Arabidopsis thaliana: one gene and its partner. The protein of the gene in region 2 interacts with the protein of the main gene of each other region in a pairwise test. Each region holds a gene or a part of one and is shown on either strand. Other genes may lie near its edges.

The links. Proteins that work in one complex are often made in the same cells at the same time.
Region 1: the proteins of AT3G17620 (region 2) and SBH2 interact in a protein complementation assay, tested with the Arabidopsis thaliana proteins (one large-scale study listed by BioGRID).

The regions. Positions count from the first base shown.
Region 1 is NC_003070.9:4,880,545-4,884,298, forward strand, and holds the start of SBH2 (sphingoid base hydroxylase 2), read right to left. Parts: upstream 1,722-3,754; 5' UTR 1,241-1,721; coding exon 1,016-1,240; exon of another isoform or gene 428-1,015; coding exon of another isoform or gene 425-427; intron 318-424; coding exon 1-317. Other genes in the region: AT1G14300 (ARM repeat superfamily protein), read right to left, coding at 2,110-2,169, 2,273-2,632, 2,733-2,846, 2,948-3,093, 3,386-3,464, 3,568-3,754. UniProt on the Arabidopsis thaliana protein: Involved in sphingolipid trihydroxy long-chain base (4-hydroxysphinganine) biosynthesis. Can use C18- and C20-sphinganine as substrates to produce C18- and C20-phytosphinganines (D-ribo-2-amino-1,3,4-trihydroxyoctadecane and -eicosane).
Region 2 is NC_003074.8:6,025,990-6,029,743, forward strand, and holds AT3G17620 (F-box and associated interaction domains-containing protein), read right to left. Parts: upstream 1,706-3,754; coding exon 509-1,705; 3' UTR 457-508; downstream 1-456. Other genes in the region: RBL14 (RHOMBOID-like protein 14), read left to right, coding at 1-184; AT3G17626 (structural constituent of ribosome), read left to right, coding at 2,190-2,231, 2,386-2,505; CHX19 (cation/H+ exchanger 19), read left to right, coding at 3,212-3,409, 3,500-3,754.

The sequences.
Region 1 (3,754 bases), on a different chromosome or scaffold from region 2:
TTGATGGTAGCGAAGGAGAAGAAAAAGATGGCTGTTCTTGGGGACATACCAGAGAAGAGGAAAGACAAAGCACCACCAATAGTGTCCAAGAGAAGACCTTCTAGTGGATGGTTGTATAGAGCTCCATACGAATAAGGCACAATAAGGCGATGATGCTGAGAGTGGATGTGCTTGTATAAGAACTTGTTGAGGTGCATATATCGATGAATGAAATATTGCCAAGTGTCAATTACAAGCATAGCGATGATAAACTGCCTAGCCAGAAGTAGAATGGAAAATTGCTGTGTCGTAGCAGCATCTGCATCACTTCCTGTTATCTAAAGAGAACAACCAAATTCCAAACAAAATATTTCAGGTAAACAAGAAACAAATGCTCCAAAATGCTAATATATGAAGCTCTATCAACAAAATATCCAGAGTGTACCATAACATGAGAACTAGAAACCTCAATCAATTTCTTCCAATACAGAGAAACATCACAAGCTCACGACTCTGAAACACACAAATAGTGAGAAATTCCAAGACTATCTATAACGGTCTCCCATGCAAGAGAACAAAACCTTGCACATGTGAATGATGAAGGGTAAAGATTGTATTCCTCTAAGCACTATTAGACAAGGGAATCACAAATCTAGACGTAAAAGCTTTTCTAAAGTAACGCCTTATGTTCAAGAATTTCAAGTGAAACAATCTAGCAAATTCTCTATATAAAACAGCAAGAAGCAGGAGATTCAAGTTTTATTTCATCAAACAATCTCCAGAATCTAAACTATTCTTAATGCAGCCTAAATCTGTAACCTTGATCCAACAGCTTCAGGACAACAAAAGGTGAATTGAAATCAGAAAACCCCTAATTCATTCTCATCGACCTAAGTTCACTAACCACAAAATTAGATTAACAAGAAGCACAAGGAGGACAACAACATTATTAGCATAATCCACAACCAAAATCCTATAACATTCACAAATTTGCCACAATGTTCAAAGAAGGGAGAGAGAGAGAGAGATTCAATACCTTGAAGAGAATAACGGAGATAATAGCCTGAAGAGTCTGTTGAAGAAGAACGCCCTTAACGACGGCAGATTTAGAAACGAGATTCTTCTCATCCTCATCTATCTTCGAATGCAATCTATATTTATCCAAAGATCCTAAGCAAATGTACATCCCTGAATACACCCAATACACCAGAATCGGCACAAATGTCCCCAGAAATTCATCTGAAATCACGAAACTCATCATCTCTAATTCTAATCAATCTCTCCCCCACAACAACTCGAGAATACGAAATCAAACACCGCCAGAAGAAAATCGCATCACTCTTCGCTAAACTACACGAAGGAGAGATTAGATTATAATCTTCTTCTTCCTCGTTGCTTCGGTGTTTTCTTTCGTCGTCGAGAAGAATAGGAGAAGAAAATGCAGAGGAGGAGATGATGAAGAGATCTAACGTGATTTTTCAGGTGGGACCCAACTATTCGGAATTTTCCACGTGGCTTTAAACGAATGGTCAAGGCGCCAACTGGTTTCAATTTTAATGTGTGCTAATTAATTACAATCTCTACATATTAAAAATTTAATATACGAATGGTGAAAATATGATTAGAAACACATGCCAAAAAACATAAAAGTCTAAAAACAAAATCATTGATTTGATTTTGCCTCTCTGTTCTCTTATCTGTACAATTGTGGACACATTTGGTGGCTACCTCGTGGGGTTGGCAATAATGTGGTGTTTATCGTTTATTAATTGATATTTCTATAAAATATGTAAAAAACATTAACTCATTAGTAGTTTAATTAGATCTTCTCTGCTTGATTTCCGATTCAGATTCAAAACAATTAGAGAAGTAGCAAAAAATGTGTGTAAGAATACACAAATATATTGTCTAACGAAGATAACATACTATAATGTCTAATATAAAATAAAATTACAACCAAAAATAGAAAATGGAGCACTAATAAGATCGCGTAAGTCAATAACGAATCTAGTGTTACAACTAGTAGTGCACAAGATGTAGTAGTAACTCTTTCATAACAGGATAAGTAACTTACTTTGCGAGGGCAGCCAATAATGGGGACTAGAGTCGGAGAACAACAAATAATGAACTTCAAGACTCTGCTTTTGTTGGCTCCAACGACTCTTCCGGACCTCCAGCTTCCTCAACAAGCTGGTTAAAAACGGCACAGCAAATAACGGTTAATAGTGAGAAAGATGCTATCTTAAGTCCTGTAGAGTTAGTCAGTGAGTGAGATTAGAGGGAGTGAACATACCAAAGAACCGACTTGCTCATAGGCTCTCATTGCTTTCGGATCTTCTTCATATTCGTATCCCAATTGTAGAATCCGTGGGCCGTTGACTGACCAAAATGCCCTTCGACCTGCCTCCTGCAACATCAAAAGTAGTTTTGACATAACAGAGGACCTTTTGTAAGTTTTGGGTTTGATTGGTCCTTCACAAGAGTTCACAAGAAGGGAAAGCGAGACAGAGAAATGTTTTACCTCTAAGATGATCAAATATATAGCTTCGAGTGTCTGAACGCGAATGTCAGGATCAGTAACTGGTTCTCGCTCAATGGACAGTGCACTTCCAAGCTCAGGTGGCATTTTTGCGACATCTTGCTCACTGTATGTCTAAGGAAAGTAAAACCCAATAATCAGAAACTATTTTCTCATAAAAGAAGAAAACCTTTGTAAGCAACAACGTAGCAGCTATAAAGCAAAATCAACAAACCTTGCTGCCTGCAACTGGTAGGAGCAGAGCGGGCCAAAGAAACTCTGATATCAAGAGTATATTCTGGAGTTGGTTTTTGGCTTCAAAACAACAGTTACGAATAGTCCCAGCAACCTGAAAGCCGATAAGCATAATCCATGTTAAATTGTTCAAAGGGTATAGACTAAGCAACATGTTCATTAAAGAGTAATCTGCCAAACTCCTTTTAAACGTACCCCTTTCTTTCGCAATTGATTTGTTGAATCAAACTGCCTAATGATCTGTTTTAATAGTCGTCTCTTTGGCTCCAGTAACAATTTCCTCCCATCTTCTGTTTTTGATATGTTGACAAGGATCGAACCAACATGCTCAAACTGATCATCTGGTGCGCAAATAAGAACAATATTCAGTAATTCATTCCTCTTTTTATACAGTAGCTATGAAACTTGATTGCAAACTAAAAAAACTACCAGTAAGTAACTACGCATAATATTCAATGGTGCCAATGCAAACATTAAAATTCTAGACTGTCCTACCGAGGATTAGATTTAGATATATGAAACAAAAACGTGATATATGAAAAGGAAATTCCAAACTATCATATCTAGAAGTAGATATATATATATATAAACTTGGACAAATTATATTACAATACTAAAGTGGGAAGTACATACCAGCAGTTTCACCAGAAGACCTGCAAAATGACCTAACAAGCTTCATGATATGTAGTCCATGCATCTTCTCATCGTCAATCTAACAAAGGCATAAAGTTTTACACGATTAGCTACGTCACCATTAGACTACCAAAAGATAATCCCCACTATATATTACACAAATTTAACTTATGATAAACGACCTGAAGCAAAGAAGAAACCCCATCATCCAACTGAGTAAGATTCACTAGAAGCATAACAAGTAATCTGGTAATACAAGACTCTGGCTTATACAACATGTCCATGGCCACTTTAATCAAACCCATTTGAATCATCTTCTTTGCCAATTCACACTTCTGAGAAAGATTAACAAGAGCTTGAGCTGCTGGC
Region 2 (3,754 bases):
TGGTATTTGGAGATGTCAGTCGTGTACATATGACAATTCTGGTTGGTTAAGTGCTTGCGAGATGTGTGGCTCGGGACGGGCTAGAGGAAATGGATGGTCACTGAATCAGGGACCAGCACTTTCTTCTTCTAATGATCTCCCTTTAGATGAGCTGCGCCGTCGAAGAGTAGAGAGGTTTAGTTGATCTCGGGAGCGCATTCTTAAAGCTGAGGAAGGATTGTGAATGAAGCTTTGTTGAATCATTCATTGCATTAGCTTATGAATAGCAGAGTTAGTGGTCGTGTTTTTCGATCTGTTTCTTCAATTTGTCTTCTCTTTTGTTGTTGAAGATTTGGTTCTACGTGAACTGGTCCTTTGATTAGATTGCTGAAAGTAGCGAGTGATTCAGATAATATAGTATCTTCACACCAAACTTACAGTTTCACAGACTTTCGATTTTAACAAAATTTTATCCTATTTCAAACCAAATTTTGTTGAAAGAAGAAGATCACAAAGCAAGATATAAATGTTAATCAGTAATCAATTTCCCTTTTTTCTTCCTTTTGCCTCCTTGCTTGATTTGCGCTGAGCTTGGAACATACGAGCACACAAGTGGATCTCGAATTTTATCAGTAGTTTTTCCGAGATCCACTTCTTTGTAATATCCATCCTCTCCAATGATGTAAGCTGTGTTGTGAGTGGGATACATTACATCTTTGTCTTTAGCAAAGACTACAACAACTTTCTTCTCTTCGTCAATGATGAAACTCGCATCTGCAATTCCAAACTTAAAATCAGTGAGTGGTTGCATATCCACTGCTAAGAACAACTTGCTCCACATCACCTCTTCAGGTTCAATCTTAGTCGTAACCCAAATCTCCATATGTAAGTTGTCCTTACGCTGAAATAACACAGCAAGTTGCTCTTCTCTAACACTAGAAAGACTCACAGTATCTACATCCATAGGGTAACACGGCAAATGAAGACGCGGCCCAAATCTCTCCGATGTAAAATTAAAACAGAGCAAGAAATAAACACTATGTATAAGATTACTGCTGATTTCTGGAAACTTGTCTGTAGCAAACCAATAAGTATTTCCCTTGAGAGAGACACCTCGTGCATAAAACTCTACTTCCCAGTCGGAAGTGACATCGAGAACCCTCCATGAATTAGACTTTAACTCGTATATTTCGTACTCAACAAATTCTTCTTCGGCAAAATCAACGAATCGCAAAACTTTGTAGCGTAGGCTTGATTTACGCTTCTCGTATCCTATAGCACAGATATACCAGTCCATTCTATGGTCAGGACTACTGGGTTTGAGCCACAAAGTTTGGCTCCTATACGGATTCCAAACCACGACCCTAGTGTAGTCTTTCGAGATACATAACAGTAAACCGTCGCAGTGATATACTTCAGATATATCGATCTGATCTGTACCGTTTAGGCTAACAAGTTTAGCTTGACGGTTTATAGACGGGTCAAAGCCGTTGTGAATTCCACGGAGGTTGATGCTCGTTAGATAAACCTTACAATGCAAGACCATGACAACCTTAAACTCACTTTCCCTTGATGTTGCTTCCTGAGCAAGGTGCTTCTTTGTAAAGCTCCGCTTTTTGGATAATGTTTTCCAATTTTTGCAGGTAAATCGCGCTTCTCTCAATGATTTCACCGGAACCCTAGAGAGTCTCTCCTCCAACAAATCTCTTGGAAGATCGGACATCATCTTCAAATCTTTCAAATTTGAACAAGGATCGATGTAACACAAATTAGTTAGGTTTGAAACTTCAGTAAAAAGCTCTCATGTTTCCCCACAGGAACCCTAACTCAAGCTGGGCCGAAACACAACTCTGCCCTCTAAAAATTTCCCGGAATTATTCATCTTTTTGAACTCTTATTTATATGACTGTGATGTCGTTTCATTTATGGGCTTTATTATTGGGCTTTTAGCCCAACTGTAGTTAAAAACTTTTTAGTGATTCTCATTTGTATATGGCGGGGGAGATGATCGACGGTCGCTTCTTGCGGTGGAGATGGAGGAGGAAGACTCTCCTCTCCGACTGCGGCGATTGAACCGAGAGAGCCACCGAAGATTCGAAACCTACAAAATATAGAGGGTGATGTAATCCAGCGTCTGAGCTCGCTGAGAACAGCCTCGACGCCGATTCCAATTCAGTACGGTGGCTTAAAGCTCCTTCAATTCTCAGACCATGGCCAAGGCTCTGTATCTTTTGCTCACTGGTTCTACCATTGTGAGTTCTTCACTACCACCTGCTTTGAATTCAACTACAATCTATCTACAAAATTCTCTAGCCGAAACCTTTCAAGTTTTAGCATGAGACCCTTAGCTTCAATTGTTTTTCTCTTGGACACTGTCTAACTTTGATTCTTCTTGGAATTGATTAGGAAATGGCTAAGAAAGTTGGAGAAGTTATAGAAAAATCCTGCGTAGAGAATGGGATCACAAAGGTGGCCTTTGACCGTGCAATTTACACTTACCATGGCTTTAGCTGCTTCAGCAAATAGAACACGGTCTCCAATTTTAAGTCTTTTTTTGTTTTGTCCTTCTCAGAAATTTGCTTGTATAGAACCCATGATTGAAATTTAGATTAGTCGGCTTGGAACAGTGTTAACTTCTTCCTTTTTAATGTGTTCATTTGTTCTTACTACTTATGCATCTCAAGAATGTTTATATCGTCTATACGATGATAATATATTTGAAAATGGTTGATGTTTACAAAGCTTCAGAAGGTAAGACATCAAATGTGCTGCTTAGTTAAGAGACAGGTACAAGTGCTTGCAAATTTAGGACAGAAGGACAAAGACAGAGACGAAAACTTCGGCGCAGTGAAGGCAGTTCATATCTGCGAAGTATAGATGCGATATGGTTGGAAGTTAAGTAACTGATAGTCTATAAATAGAAAAGTGCGAGGTATATGCCCACCCTGGAGTTGGTATGTCCGCTTCTATCTCATCTACCTATTATTAGCAAACTATAGACGTTATTAGTTTTCTGTTTTTTCCTTTTATATACTCACTTCTTTAATGTAGATTCTGTTTAATAAAAACAGTAACAGAACAGAATAAAATCTTGATTTCTTTTTTTTCCTCCCATTCAGGTCTCATACTTCGTTTGGCAATGCAATGAGGGAGCAGCCAAGGCAGTATTGAAGGGTGAAGCAGTATCTCGTTTCTTGACCAATCATCAACCTGTAAGTAGATCTCCACTAGGATGGCAAGCACCAACGTTACAGGGCAATGCCCGGGTCCAATGAAGGCTACCTCCAATGGAGCCTTCCAAAACGAAAGCCCTCTTGATTTCGCGCTTCCTCTTATCATCCTACAAATCGTCTTGGTGGTTGTGTTTACAAGGCTCTTAGCTTACTTTCTTAAGCCTCTCAAACAGCCCCGAGTCATTGCTGAGATCATTGTGAGTTTCCTACTCAATCTCTTTGTATTTTTCTTTTTCTGTTTTGATGAAATCACATAGCAAAAGAGACTAAAAGGGATGGTTCTGTAGGGAGGGATACTGCTTGGACCTTCTGCACTAGGGAGAAGCAAGGCCTATCTTGACACCATCTTCCCAAAGAAGAGCTTGACCGTTTTAGACACACTCGCCAACATTGGTCTTCTGTTTTTCTTGTTCCTAGTTGGGCTTGAGCTTGACTTTGCAGCAATAAAAAAAACTGGAAAGAAATCACTATTGATAGCCATAGCTGGGATCTCACTTCCTTTTATAGTGGGTGTAGGCACATCTTTTGTTCTCAGTGCCACC